Linked DNA regions of Drosophila melanogaster. The protein of the gene in region 3 interacts with the protein of the main gene of each other region in a pairwise test. Each region holds a gene or a part of one and is shown on either strand. Other genes may lie near its edges.

Region 1 (3,151 bases), on a different chromosome or scaffold from region 3:
TACAGATAGCACAGAAGGTCCAACCACGGTAATAACACCAAGTACTCCGGGCTCAGAACCAGATCCATGTGATGGAGCTCCTGAGGGAAAACTAGTTCCCTATCCGGATGACTGCTCCAAGTTTATACAATGTATTCAACCCGATCCTATCGTTTATGACTGTCGCGAGGGTCAGGAATTTAGTGCCGCCTTGGAAAGGTGTATGGCTCCTTGGTTTGCAAACTGTTCTATTCCAGCTACAACAATCCCACCCGTAACTATTCCTACTACCACAACAACCACAGAGAAGCCTTCACCGAATGGAATTTGTGCAGATAAGGCAGAGGGATCACTGGTGCCCTATCCTGGGAACTGTAGCAAGTACATTGCTTGTGAAGACCCCATTCCGGTGGGTTATGCGTGCCCGGAGGGAGAAGAATTTAATCCCATCATTCTTACCTGTACGGATCCTCACCTGGCTGGCTGCAATCCAAGTGCTTTGCACATTTCACCGAAAACCGAATCAGATGATTTAGGGTTTTCTTTATGGCAGTCCTTAAAAACGATTGCAAGTTTTGTTACAGAATTGTAATCACAATATCTTTTATTGAATGCTTTTGTAAAAGTAATTATTAAAATGTTGTAACTTCATGTCTTCTGTTTGATTGGGTAAAGCTCTGGTTTCAATTTAAAGAAGCCTGGCACCCATTGCTGTAAGTGGTGCAGGCATGCTGGGCAGGATTCCAATTCGAGGAGCCTGCGCATGAAAGAATGGTTGCTGTTGGTCCGCAATGTATAAACTTCTTACAACTGCCCGGATAAGGAATGTACGCATTGGGAGGACTGTTATTGCACAATGATTGGACGTCAATTGGCAGAGGTAAAGATTCCATGGGAGTTATAGGCGGTGGAGTACCAGCGGTGGGCATGGGATCATAAGGTATCACGGTTGCGGGAACGGTTGGAACGGGTGGATAGGTAGGCAGTGGGGTAAAGGGGACTACGGGTGGCACGGTCACAGGAGAGTTCTGACAATCGCCATACTGTGGGACAACGCATCTCTGGTATACTGAACTCCACTGGAGGTTTTGCTCACAGCGAAGGATACGTGTCTCGTAGAATCGCCTGCAATCTCCGGGATATGCACTAAATATGACCTCAACATCATGGTTGGGACTTGGAATATACGTATTGCAGTTGGAGTACTCCTTGTAGTCACAGCGGTAGGTCATCTGGCTCCAGAACAAATTCAGAGGACACTGTTGCTCATAGGCTCGTCCTTTTTGGCATACGTAATACTTGCTACAGTCATTGGGATATGGCAACATCACATTATGGTTGGGATCGTCAAATGGTGGGCATTGTATAGAGTGGTCGGTTACTATGGACTAGAAATGTAAAAAATTATTTTCCTAGACATTATACTGGTTAACCGATCGGCACATTTACCACGAGATTATTGTTTTCCTGGCAATCGACAATTGCAATGAAAGCCAACAAACCTAGGTAGATAACAACAGATCCTTGCCGCACTGCAAAAAAAAATAAACTTTTCAATGCCTTAAGAGTTCAAAATTGAATGTGTCTTGTTACTTTTGATGTTGTTTGCTGAAAGAGCTCCAAGAAAGTGGATGCTACAACTTGGAAAAACTCGGCCTTTTATACCAGCAATAATCTGGATATCTTTATCAAGTTCAAGTGCTTAACACTTATTTATCGAACATCATTTTGCGTAAACAATGAAAGTCAAATCTTAAAAAAAAATTTCCCCTAGATATGCTATGTGTACATATCGAATTCTTACTGCCCAGGTCTGATCTTCTAAATTACTATTCTATACATTCCCTAATAATGAAAATTCAACAGACATCTGGTTTTATCCAACTGATCCTCTTATTAATCAGAAAGATTAACACATTTTCAAATTTCGCGAACTACCAATTACTAATATAGGTTTTTGAATTTGGTGAGCAACAGTTAGTACTCATCTTACGAGTTATTTTCCCATCCACTTGACCGGACAAGCTTATCTTTTCAAGGACAGCTATGATATGAAAGCCAATAAATAAAATTCCTCTAAAGTCATAGTATCAATTTGTCAATAATATGTATTTACTTAGCAATGATATATAAAAACCCAGAAACATCGGATCGGTATCAGACTAAGAAATCTTCGCGAGGCAGAGAGAAAAGTACAAACTTAAATATTTTCATAACATTACTAAATTTTCACTTTTATCAGTGCTAAACAAGTTACCACTAATTGTTTTACTATGTGCCGTGTTCTCTGGATTTTGCATGGCCCAAACTGTGCAGAGATGGCCGTTTCCCAATGACTGCCATCGGTACTACGAGACCCGATTGCTTGACTGTCCTCCGGAATTTTATTGGAACTCACAGCTACTACAATGCAATTCGCAGACTCCGGTTGGCTGTTCCTCCATAGATCCGATAACGAATTGGAACAACTCCTATCCCAATTCTCCACCGATTAAAGAACCAGAAAATTCCGATCTTACGAAACTATGCGAGAATAAGCTCAACCAGCTAATACCCTACCCAGCGGATTGCACCAAGTTTATTCGGTGTGATTATTTACCCTTCGTAATGTGCTGCCCGCAATATCTCTATTGGAATTCTCAGCTCCTTACATGCGATAAGATGTGTGTTTAGAGGGTTTTCTGAAACAACATCGCACAAGCAGTTCCGGAATTAAGATAACGAAACAAAATTCTCTTTTTCATATTGTGTTTTGTTATTAAATATTAATTACAGTTGCAAATCGTACAAAATATTCAAGAATTGGCAGTGAAACCGTTTAATTGTATGCGAAAAAACACTTAAGTGCTCAAGAGCAAGCTGCATCAAAATACAAATAGGTGGTTTGTAGATGGCAGTTGGTTAAGCTGTTCTAAAATTGAGCCCCTCTGGAACTGATCTACTATAATATGGGTGTGGTGGTGTGGTTAGAGGGATGTGTATTATGCTCCCCTAGCATTTTCCATTGGTGGGCGCCTTGGGACGGCAGATCTTGCTCCTTCCATTGGCGCCGTAGACAATGTTGCAAGAGAAGGTGAAATAGCCGCAGGTCGAGGACTTGGTGTAATAGGTCGACTGGAAGTTCTTGTTCTCCTGCGGTGGGTTCTTTGTGTTGTCCATGCTGCCTGTCACT
Region 2 (4,702 bases), on a different chromosome or scaffold from region 3:
TCGTCAATCGGCGCGGACTTCAACTGCACTTCCATTTCTTTGATTTTCTTCGAAGCTATAGCCAATTTTATATATCTCAGCCATTTGGGCCAATCTTGATTGAGGCGTCTGAGCATGGGAAACGCATTTAGAGGATTGGACACATACTCTTCCTTCTCCTCCAGCGTTGTTAAAGTTACTCGTTTCAGCGAGTCTTGATATCTGAAAATAATATACAATAAAATGTGTCTCATATAATTTATTATATAGTATAATTCATAGCACATTTCAAAAGATTTTTTTTGAATAAAAAATAATTTACCCTACTTACAATTTAATCAGATCTAACTTGGACTGCATTTCCTGAACGTATATATCTAAGTTCGTTTTTAGAGATTCTTCCATTTCCAAAAGTTTCATCATGCTCATCACAGATGTGCTGTATATCATTTTCTCCTCTGACGTTTCATTTCTTTCCTTGCAAAAGTTCTGCGGAACCCAAATGAATACAAGACATATCTGAAGCACGAACCACTTCATCTTGACTTGGGTAGACTAATGCACTGAATTTCTGTTCTATTTATTAGACTAATCAACAATTTCATGGTATATTGGTAATGGCTGATACATTTTTGGTTCCGCCACAAAAAATTCGTTTGTTTAAGATTTGTTTTGGTATCTTTTAACTATGAAACCAAGTAACTATCTTATAATATTGCTCGCATGAAATCTAAAAAAAAACATTTTTTAACTAGAGTTGTATTTACTACGATTTGCATGGGAAGCTAAACATTTGCGGAAACATAGGAACCCACTTTGTGAGCGCTGTAAAAGAAAACTTCCTATATGTAGTACAATCGTACGTATATATGAATAAGCTAACCTACTCCATCTGTCGCCATTGAGAACAGGACACACCGAGTGTAGGCTTCTTATGTCAGGTTTTCCGTCATCATGCAAATTGAACCAGTACAACATGCTGCCTTTTTGTGGGAAGACCGTAACATTAATTTCCGGAAAAACAGTGGCACCTCCTTGTGGAACTTCACTAGCCTGTAAATTGGAATTTTTATATATATTTGAAGGGAAAGCAATCATCTTTACTCACATAAAAAAGAATGCTTGCCAACCTATCTCCCAACGTCGTAATATTTGGAGTTTCAAAACCATCGGACGAGTAGTCAAAGTGCGGTTGGAAATAGGTGCCCAATCCATAGTTCGCGATCTGTAGTTTTTCATCTTTTAAGAAGTTGAATCCTGTCATATCAATTATCCGCTGATTGATGCGCTCCCGAACCAATGAAGTATTTGACCACCAATCATATCGGACAACTGTATCTCTGATTTCTGTGCCATTTCTCTGGCTGGCGTAGCCATTAACCATATTCATCGATTGTCCTTTAAGTTCACGAATCTCCGAATCGTACAGAACTTCGTGATACATTGCCATAAATGGATCCAAACTAATTTCCTCCAATTTTAGAGGAGCCAATCGCAGAAACGTATTCGCAGTGCTTTTGTATCGACACACAAGATTCGTCTTTTGGCGATACAGTCCTCGACAACCAAGTTCACAGTTGGAAGGACTTCTTTTTACCTGATACAGATCTTTCTCTACTTCAACGTCGTTCTGCGGTTCGTTCAGGTCAGACATAATATTATCCAGCTCCTCTTGACTGGCCTGTACCATTATAAAGGCTTCTTCAATGGACTTCGAAGGCTCAGATGTTGTAGAGCCTACAATTAGTTGATATAAGCAAAAGGAGAAAACAATAAAGCCTAGTCTTACCGTATTTGAAGAGGGATTTAATGTATTGGCGATGAAGGTGTTCAGATGGGTCGCCCAAAATCTGAATAAATAATTGTTCGGGATTTTCCAATTCGCGTTTGCAAGCAATTCGATACCATTTGGCTGCTGTCTGATAGTCGCTTTGCTGGTACATCGAATTTCCCATGGCTATGAGGTCGCGATATGTAAGTTGAACGCTGCAGATTCGATTTCGCTAATAATTCTCCAATTTTAATTACTATTCTATATACTTGTACTGAACTCCTTGCAAAACACCTTGTGCCAGATCGTCGATTTTCAAGTCATATATTTTTTCTATGCGTTGAATTCCATGCATGGCCGACAACATGTCCACATCGTTCGGAACCATTTTCACAAGGTCAACCAGAATACTCTGATTTCCTGTATATATAAAAATGTATATTATATAGTATAGTAGAGTATATTAGTATATATTACTACAAAGTATTAATAGAGCTCTATTTCAATTTGATGTTACTAGTTGCTAGTTACTACAAACTAGTTTCTACTTGCTAGTTACTACTTATTAGTTACTACGTACTAGCTACGACTAATACTAGTTTCTAGTTACAACATACCTTCTCCAATGGCTTCTTTAAAGTATTCGTGCCATTTTGGTAAATCCTCGTGCGTGCGTCTTAGCAGTGAAAATGCATTTATGGGATTTGAAACGTATTGCACTTTTTCATTGAGGCTTCGATGTAATTCATAACCCACTGACGACAAGTACCTAAAATTTTTCTTTTACTTGTGATAAAAACAAATTTTAGGTTGTGTTACATTCGAAGTGCTTCGAATTTTTCTCCTAGCTGATCAACTTGGTTTAAAAGGTTATCGGTGAATTTTTCTTCCACTTTGAGCAGTTTCAGAAGTCCCACAGTAGATGAGCTGTATCGTTCTTTTTCCTCAATATCCTCGACACATCCTACAAAACTGTTTAGAACTGCAAAACCAAGCAGAACTGGGAGTAAACTATGATACTTTCTCATTATAACTAAAAAGTATTCACATTTCTTTAAACAATTGTAAGTTCTTCTTGACTTAAATGGATTCTCTAAGGTTATAGTTGGTTGAATTGATTAGTTACGTTTTTTGTTTATTAGCTACCGTTATCTATCGGGTTATTTTATTTTTTTATTGCAAAGTTATTTTATTTTACAAATATTAAGTGCTATTTAAAGTTTTATCTAAAATTATTTAAAACTTTTGGTTACTCTTTGCTTTCTTGTACTGCATAGGTCGTCCATTGTATGCACCTTTTTGTGTGATAACTAAAAAGAAATCTAAATCAATCAAATTTATTTCATTAGATTTCCATTTTTTCATGTACCCCTTTTATTTCCTTGAAGAACTGGGCATTCCAAAGGCTCACTGCGAGGATCAAGTGTGTTATGCCAAAAGAGACAGCTGCCCTTTTGAGGAAAGACGGATATTTTCAACTTTGGAAAAACCATAGCACCACCGAGTTCCACATTGTTAAGCTGGTTAGAAGTAAATATTTTTTGGATAAATAGTTAGTGCAGATTCTATCAATAGGATAGTTTCAATTATAAAATCAAAAGAGAATCTTATATTGCAAAACTAAATGTAACCAATTAAAATTGCACATTGAGTACACTGTACTTACAAAAAATAGTAATGTTCCTTTTAAATATTCCTTCTTATGTTTGTGCGTTCGAGGACCGTTTTTGGATACTATTTGTTGATCTGAATGTTCAAAACTAAGTCGTGTCAATTCGTTTATGCGTTGAAAGATGCGTTTTTCAATAGGATTGACTTCCACCGCGTCAGTATCATTCAAGTGGTTTTTCAACTTATCGATCTCGTCGTCATTAAGAACATCGTGATATATGACAATGTAAGGATCCCAATTTAAAACTTCCTGTTTCAAGGGAGCTAGTTTCAAGAATTCGGTTATGGTGAAATTATAGGTGCAAACATGATTCCTTCGCCTAAGAAACTGGCCACGACATCCAATTTCGTAGTCTGAGGGTTTTGTCTTGTTAACATTCATTTCGTAAACAATTTCATCGTCAGTTTGACTTAGCAACTCATTTAAGAGAGATTTTATATCTGCTAGGCTGGCCTTATTCAGAGCTTCGTAGGATATTTTCTTAGCTTCTGCGATTGTCATCGAAGGATTTGACTTGATCATGCCTATATGGTTGTAAGGGAAAGATTAGATAGGCCTTCTTGACTCATCCTCCTTACCGAATATGAGCATTGATTTGGCGTACAAAGTATACAAATTAACCTTGGGATCTCCAAGAATGCTGTTGATAATCTCGGCATTTCCTTCGGGCTCATGTTTGATGGCCACGCGAAACCACATAGAAGCCCGTTGGTAGTCCTCCCTTTTAAATTTGTGCTCTCCCAAAGCAACACAATCCCGAATAGAAGGCCGAAAGCTAAAAAGTAATCATATTGAATGGATAATAACAAAAAAAAAAATGTTTCCTATACTCATATTGCTTGCCCTGAATACGACCTCTTGCCAACTCAATGGCTTCCAAATCGTAAATCTGTTCAATCCGATGCATTTCTCCCAGTGAATATGCCATATCCTTTTTATCCGGTACCTTGGCTATAATTTCCTCCAAGGCAAACAGTTCCTCTAAAAAAAATTGAATTATTATTTGAGTACGGTATTTTGAGCAATATAAAGTGATCAAGCTAATGCTGTTGTCAATACCACTCATTCATATGAAAATTTAATAAATTCTTTAAAATTGGGATAAATACTCTTACCCATTCCCACGATCTGCTGTGAATAGTTGTGCCATTTCGGTAGATCTTGATGTGTCCGTCTCACTAGACTAAATGCATTAATGGGATTACCGACATATTTCTCTCGATCTTCAAAACTTTGTTGGAATTCGTAGTCAACCGAGTCGATATAACTGTGGATAACAT
Region 3 (4,857 bases):
GCAGTAAAATATATTGCTGCAAGTTTTGTAAGAAAATTAAAAAAAACTTAAAACTATAGGGTATCCAGAAAATGATAGCCACATTTCCTGGTTTGACCAAATGCGAATGGAGAATGACAAGATTCTCACTTTTTAAGTGCCGTCTACCATTTGCGGGTTCATTTAACTTTGGCGCGTGTTCTCCCAGCGTTGGGCCCCTAAATGCACTTCAAGTTAATATGTAAAATAACAACAATATCGTATATACATACATATGTACATACATCATCGATGAGGCATACCCAATCCCGGCGCTCTATTGGTATTTTTTTGTCGGCCAGACTGACGAGCCATTGAACTTGGAGTGCGTAAACCCGTTTTTGGGATGCCTCGTTTGGCCCGATTCGGATTCGGTTCAGTTCGAGACCGGAACGGATCGGTGGGAACTTATTAAGCTAGGTCATGACGTGGTCCAAATTGGATTGACCCGAACCGTTCTGAAGACCCCGTTTGGCGCTACACTCAACGAAAACGGGTGGCAATTGAGTTAAAAGTCAATTATAAAGATTTTCGATGGCATTTATTATAAAAAAAAAAATGTTATTAATTTTATGAATTTGAATTAAAGATTTTCAAAATGTTGAAAATAATAATGATATATGATACCCTTTAAAATCCAATGAAAATGTGATTTTTTTTTTCTTACTGATTTAAAATTATGTATGGAACACAATCTTTTAAATTATTAAAGAATTGTCGAATGCTTTTAACGTGTGACGATTTTACCCGTTTGCTTTCTTTCAAACTTTCCTCTCGCATTTTATTAACCCCTTTACATAAATCGCTGATTTGGTGATCTTCATCTGGAGTTAATCAACTCCATTCGGATCGTATCATATCAGCCGCCTTTTCCCCAATCATAAATGCCGCTGCATTTGTGTGAGCGGTGGGTGGAAACGGTATGATACTGGTGTCCACCACCCGAAGTTTCCTCACTCCATGCACCTTTAGCTGATGATTGACCACGGTGGTGGGATCACTTTCGGCGCCCATGCGACAGGTGGCCACCTGGTGGTGCAGTGTGTAGGATAGCGTGCGTATGGAGCACCGCCAATAATCATCCGAGGCGAATTCGTAGTTCTCACAACCTGGCACCGGCTTGTCCAACAATCTGGTTCCAATCGCCTGCATGGCCGGCATCTTGGAGATTCTGAGTGCCTCCTTAATGCCCTCCAGCAAGTTCTCCACATCCGACGGAGCCGAAAAGTACTTGGGATCGATGCGTGGCCACTCGAGTGGATTGCGATTGTGCAGCCAGAGGCGACCCACGGAGGCGGGCTTGAAGTGCATGATGAGGAAGCTAAAGTGATCCTGCTGCCTCAACGTCAGATTCTTGTACATTTTCTCGTAGATCTCGGGCTTAAAGTTGGCTCCTTTGGCCAGGGCAGTGCCATCATCGCTAGCCAGGCTGCCGGCCACTTGGATGAGTTCCACATCGGGTTGGGTGGCCGGACTCTTGCCCGACGGCACCTTGATGAAGGTGAGCGTCTCTACGCCACCGATACTGGACAGAAAGGTGTCTGCCCGGCCCAGTAGAAACTCCTTGGCCACCGGTGCGCCCAATTGAGCGGCAAATAGAGTCTGGCCCGTTGTGTTGGTCACAAAAGTGGGTCCAAAGTGGCACATGTGATCGAACATTCTCTTACCCACTGGCAGTGCCTTGATCAGGGGTATTCCAATGGCCTTGAGGTTATCTTCTGGCCCAATCCCCGACAGCATCAGCAACTGTGGAGAGTTGAAGGCACCCGCCGATAGAATGATTTCCTTGCGGGCTTTCACCTTAAAGCTTCTGCCCTGATGGGTCAACTCCACTCCATAGGCGGACTTGGTGGCTGCATCTATCAGAACTCGGGTGACTCTAGCCAGTGTTAGAATGTGCAGATTATGACGCCTAGATCTTATGGGCTCAATATAGGCACGAAAGGCACTGTGCCTCCTGCCCTTCAGTGTGGTGGCCTGCACATAGGAAACGCCCAGCTGGGATTCACCATTGTAGTCCGTTCTCGGATGACCCGCCTCCTGGGCAGCTCTAATGTAGGCGTGTGCAAGTCGCGTCCGGTGTCGCACATCCTCCACACTCAAGGGACCACTGTGATTGTGATATGGCGAGTGCTCCAATCCCTGAAGCTGTGCATGCTCACTTCGCAGAAAGTAGGGCAACACCTCGTCGTAACTCCAGCCGGGATTTCCAGCTGCCGCCCAGGCATCAAAATCCCTACGATTGCCCCGATTGTAGATCATGTAATTGATCGAGCTAGTGCCACCCAGAACTTTGCCCCTCGGCAGGGCACACTTGTTATCGGGCATTCCACGACAGGCATGGCGTTGTGGCGTCGAGTTGTAGCCCCAATTGGAGGCAGTCGACTGCAAATGGGCCGCCAGTAATGGCACCTGATGCACTATGTTCTCCACTCCTCCGGCTTCGATAAGGAACACACTCCAATTGGGATTCTCCGAGAGACGAGCGGCCAATGTACAGCCAGCAGCTCCGCCTCCAACTATTATGAAGTCATAGTTTCTTTGGGGAACTGCAAGGAGATTTTAAAATATATGTGTTAAATCGATTACAAATTTTCCAGTACTAAAAGCATGGAACTCTCTGGCATAAATACGCTTATTATATTGGAGCACATATAGGTACTTGAATATTTCCATGATTTGAATAAACCCTCACCATCGCTGAAGAATGGCACATTGACGACATTTCCCAATCCCAGTCGCCGCAGTTCGTCCAGTTGGGAGCTCCTTTGGGAGTGGATCAGTGGGATCAGGAGCAGAAACAGAAGCTGGGTCAGCAGCAGCTTCTCCATGGTTGCGATGGCCGGTAACTGAACTCTGTGGCTACCGAGCTTTCCGTGATATTGGACCTCTACGTCTGCCAACGCACTGTGGAACGAGTTTTAAAAGTCTCAAAAAAATCTAGATATGTGATTTATTTTATATTTTACTATTATTGCGCTTTTTATTTATGGGCGTGGAAAGTTAGTTAGTGAACATTAATTGAAACTTTTATTATTTTATTTCAAATGGAACTTGCTCCACTGTGGATTATCTTGCCGGTTTGGTTCTCCCTCACTGATCTCTATACCCCCCTCTCTTTCGCGCCGCCTTTCTCCGCATCACTACGTCTTCTTTTTTTCCTCCACTGTTGAGATGAGTTGGTTGACTTGGTGGCCAGGTTTGTAGGGCCAAAACAGGCTGAGATTGTCTCAGAATTTTTATTGCCACTTGCTAATTTGCGCATTCTGCTTGCTCATCTCTACGGTCTTGCCTCTCTTTTATTTGCTGTTCCTCTGTCTCTTTTCTAATGCAGAAAACAAAAATTTAGATCATTTAAGTTTTGATTTGATAAAGACACCCATGGTAAATGGTTAATTTCTTCAGCAATTTGTAATTAGTTTTTCTTAAAATTAATGATTTTTGCAATATTTTAAATACATATATTATATACATTAGTTTTCTCTCTGTGTTTCTTCTGCATCTGAGCTCGGTTCAATGGCATTTGGATGGGCATCTTGTGCTGGCTTTGTTTATATTTTTATTTTTTATGCCGGACTGTCAGTTAAATCTTTGAAGATTGAAGCACCAGCGGCTCGGGCACTCGAGGGTTAATATATATTTCAAGCCACCCCATAGAGTATTATAATCAAGAAAAAACCAAAACAAAACAAAACCAAAAACGATTAAACGACTTTAGGTCTAGCCAAAAATAAAAAAATGTATAAAAGGGGTGGCTCAGTGCAGTTGGTATCAACCCCAGCATATGGATGCAGTTCATCCAATCCCACAATAAAAGTCATTGGATGCCCTTACAAAACCAAAGCAGCCGAAAGGGGAACATGAAACCAAAATGTGAACAAGACTGGGATTTCACAGAGGACATTGATGTGAAATTCGGAGGAAGGGCCATGTTTTGGTCATGGCAATTGCATTCAAAATTTGTCTCTATTGTGTTCGCCTTTTTCTTTTTTTTTTTGAGCGGCTCAAACCGCCCCCTCGATTCATGAATATTTCAATTTGTGTTAATGAAAAGTCTAGTGACTTTTTTCGAAAGGAAAGGGAAATGTTTTCATGAGTTTTCAATGGGAAATAGGATAGCCTATAGCTCACTCGGTATTTAGTCAAAAGTAAATGAAATAAAATTTGTGCAACAAATAAATTGAGTTGTACGTAAATTGCCTTGTTTTCTATATGCACATGTAAGTTTATAGAATATATGTGAATATATTAAATTTAATAAGCACTGTCAAAGGCTAGTCACGTAGTGACGAATGTGATTTAGAATCACAAGCCGGCTTTGAAATTCTTCGAAAAATATAAAATCCAAGAGCTTTAAGCTGAGCTCAAAGCTTTTCGTTTCATTTCGATTTGAATAGAATTTTAATATAGCCTACCCTTGGGGATATTGAAAGATATACTTATACCAAAGCAATTATTCTCAATTTTCGACTGATTTATACCCACTCTACATACATAAATAATTCTAAGGTCAAATCGATGCGAATTATACCAAGATCAATCCAAAGACTCAGCACCGAAAATTGCTTGAACAAAACACCTAACAAATTATTCACACCGGCTAAGTTCGTTAGACAAGATAAAAAACGAACGCAAAAAAAACGAGAGTGATGAATAAAAAAAAAATCATTTCCGCAACAATAAAAAGATCGAGAGAAACTCAAAAACAAAGGCGTGTAATAAATCAAAACAAAAAATCGTCAAACAAGCGGACAACTTCATGTATTTCACAGATTTTGATTATGAAGCCACAAATTGATTAGCATGAAAAGTGCCAGAGTTGAAAATCCCTATTGATAT

Evidence for each region.
Region 1: the proteins of CG9522 (region 3) and CG11570 interact in a two-hybrid assay, tested with the Drosophila melanogaster proteins (one large-scale study listed by BioGRID).
Region 2: the proteins of CG9522 (region 3) and CG32201 interact in a two-hybrid assay, tested with the Drosophila melanogaster proteins (one large-scale study listed by BioGRID).

What each region holds. Positions count from the first base shown.
Region 1 is NT_037436.4:11,956,152-11,959,302, forward strand, and holds CG11570 (uncharacterized protein), read right to left. Parts: upstream 1,619-3,151; 5' UTR 1,574-1,618; coding exon 1,573-1,573; intron 1,512-1,572; coding exon 1,429-1,511; intron 1,368-1,428; coding exon 663-1,367; 3' UTR 572-662; downstream 1-571. Other genes in the region: CG7248 (uncharacterized protein), read left to right, coding at 1-571; CG43294 (uncharacterized protein), read left to right, coding at 2,171-2,171, 2,222-2,652; prc (pericardin), read right to left, coding at 2,971-3,151.
Region 2 is NT_037436.4:18,607,705-18,612,406, reverse strand, and holds CG32201 (uncharacterized protein), read right to left. Parts: upstream 2,788-4,702; 5' UTR 2,779-2,787; coding exon 2,570-2,778; intron 2,520-2,569; coding exon 2,368-2,519; intron 2,171-2,367; coding exon 2,020-2,170; intron 1,966-2,019; coding exon 1,769-1,965; intron 1,717-1,768; coding exon 1,088-1,716; intron 1,033-1,087; coding exon 867-1,032; intron 805-866; coding exon 746-804; 3' UTR 545-745; downstream 1-544. Other genes in the region: CG32199 (uncharacterized protein), read right to left, coding at 1-201, 311-429; CG18231 (uncharacterized protein), read right to left, coding at 2,987-3,060, 3,120-3,270, 3,417-3,946, 4,001-4,197, 4,253-4,403, 4,538-4,689.
Region 3 is NC_004354.4:14,845,930-14,850,786, forward strand, and holds CG9522 (uncharacterized protein), read right to left. Parts: upstream 2,880-4,857; 5' UTR 2,850-2,879; coding exon 2,714-2,849; intron 2,568-2,713; coding exon 853-2,567; 3' UTR 543-852; downstream 1-542.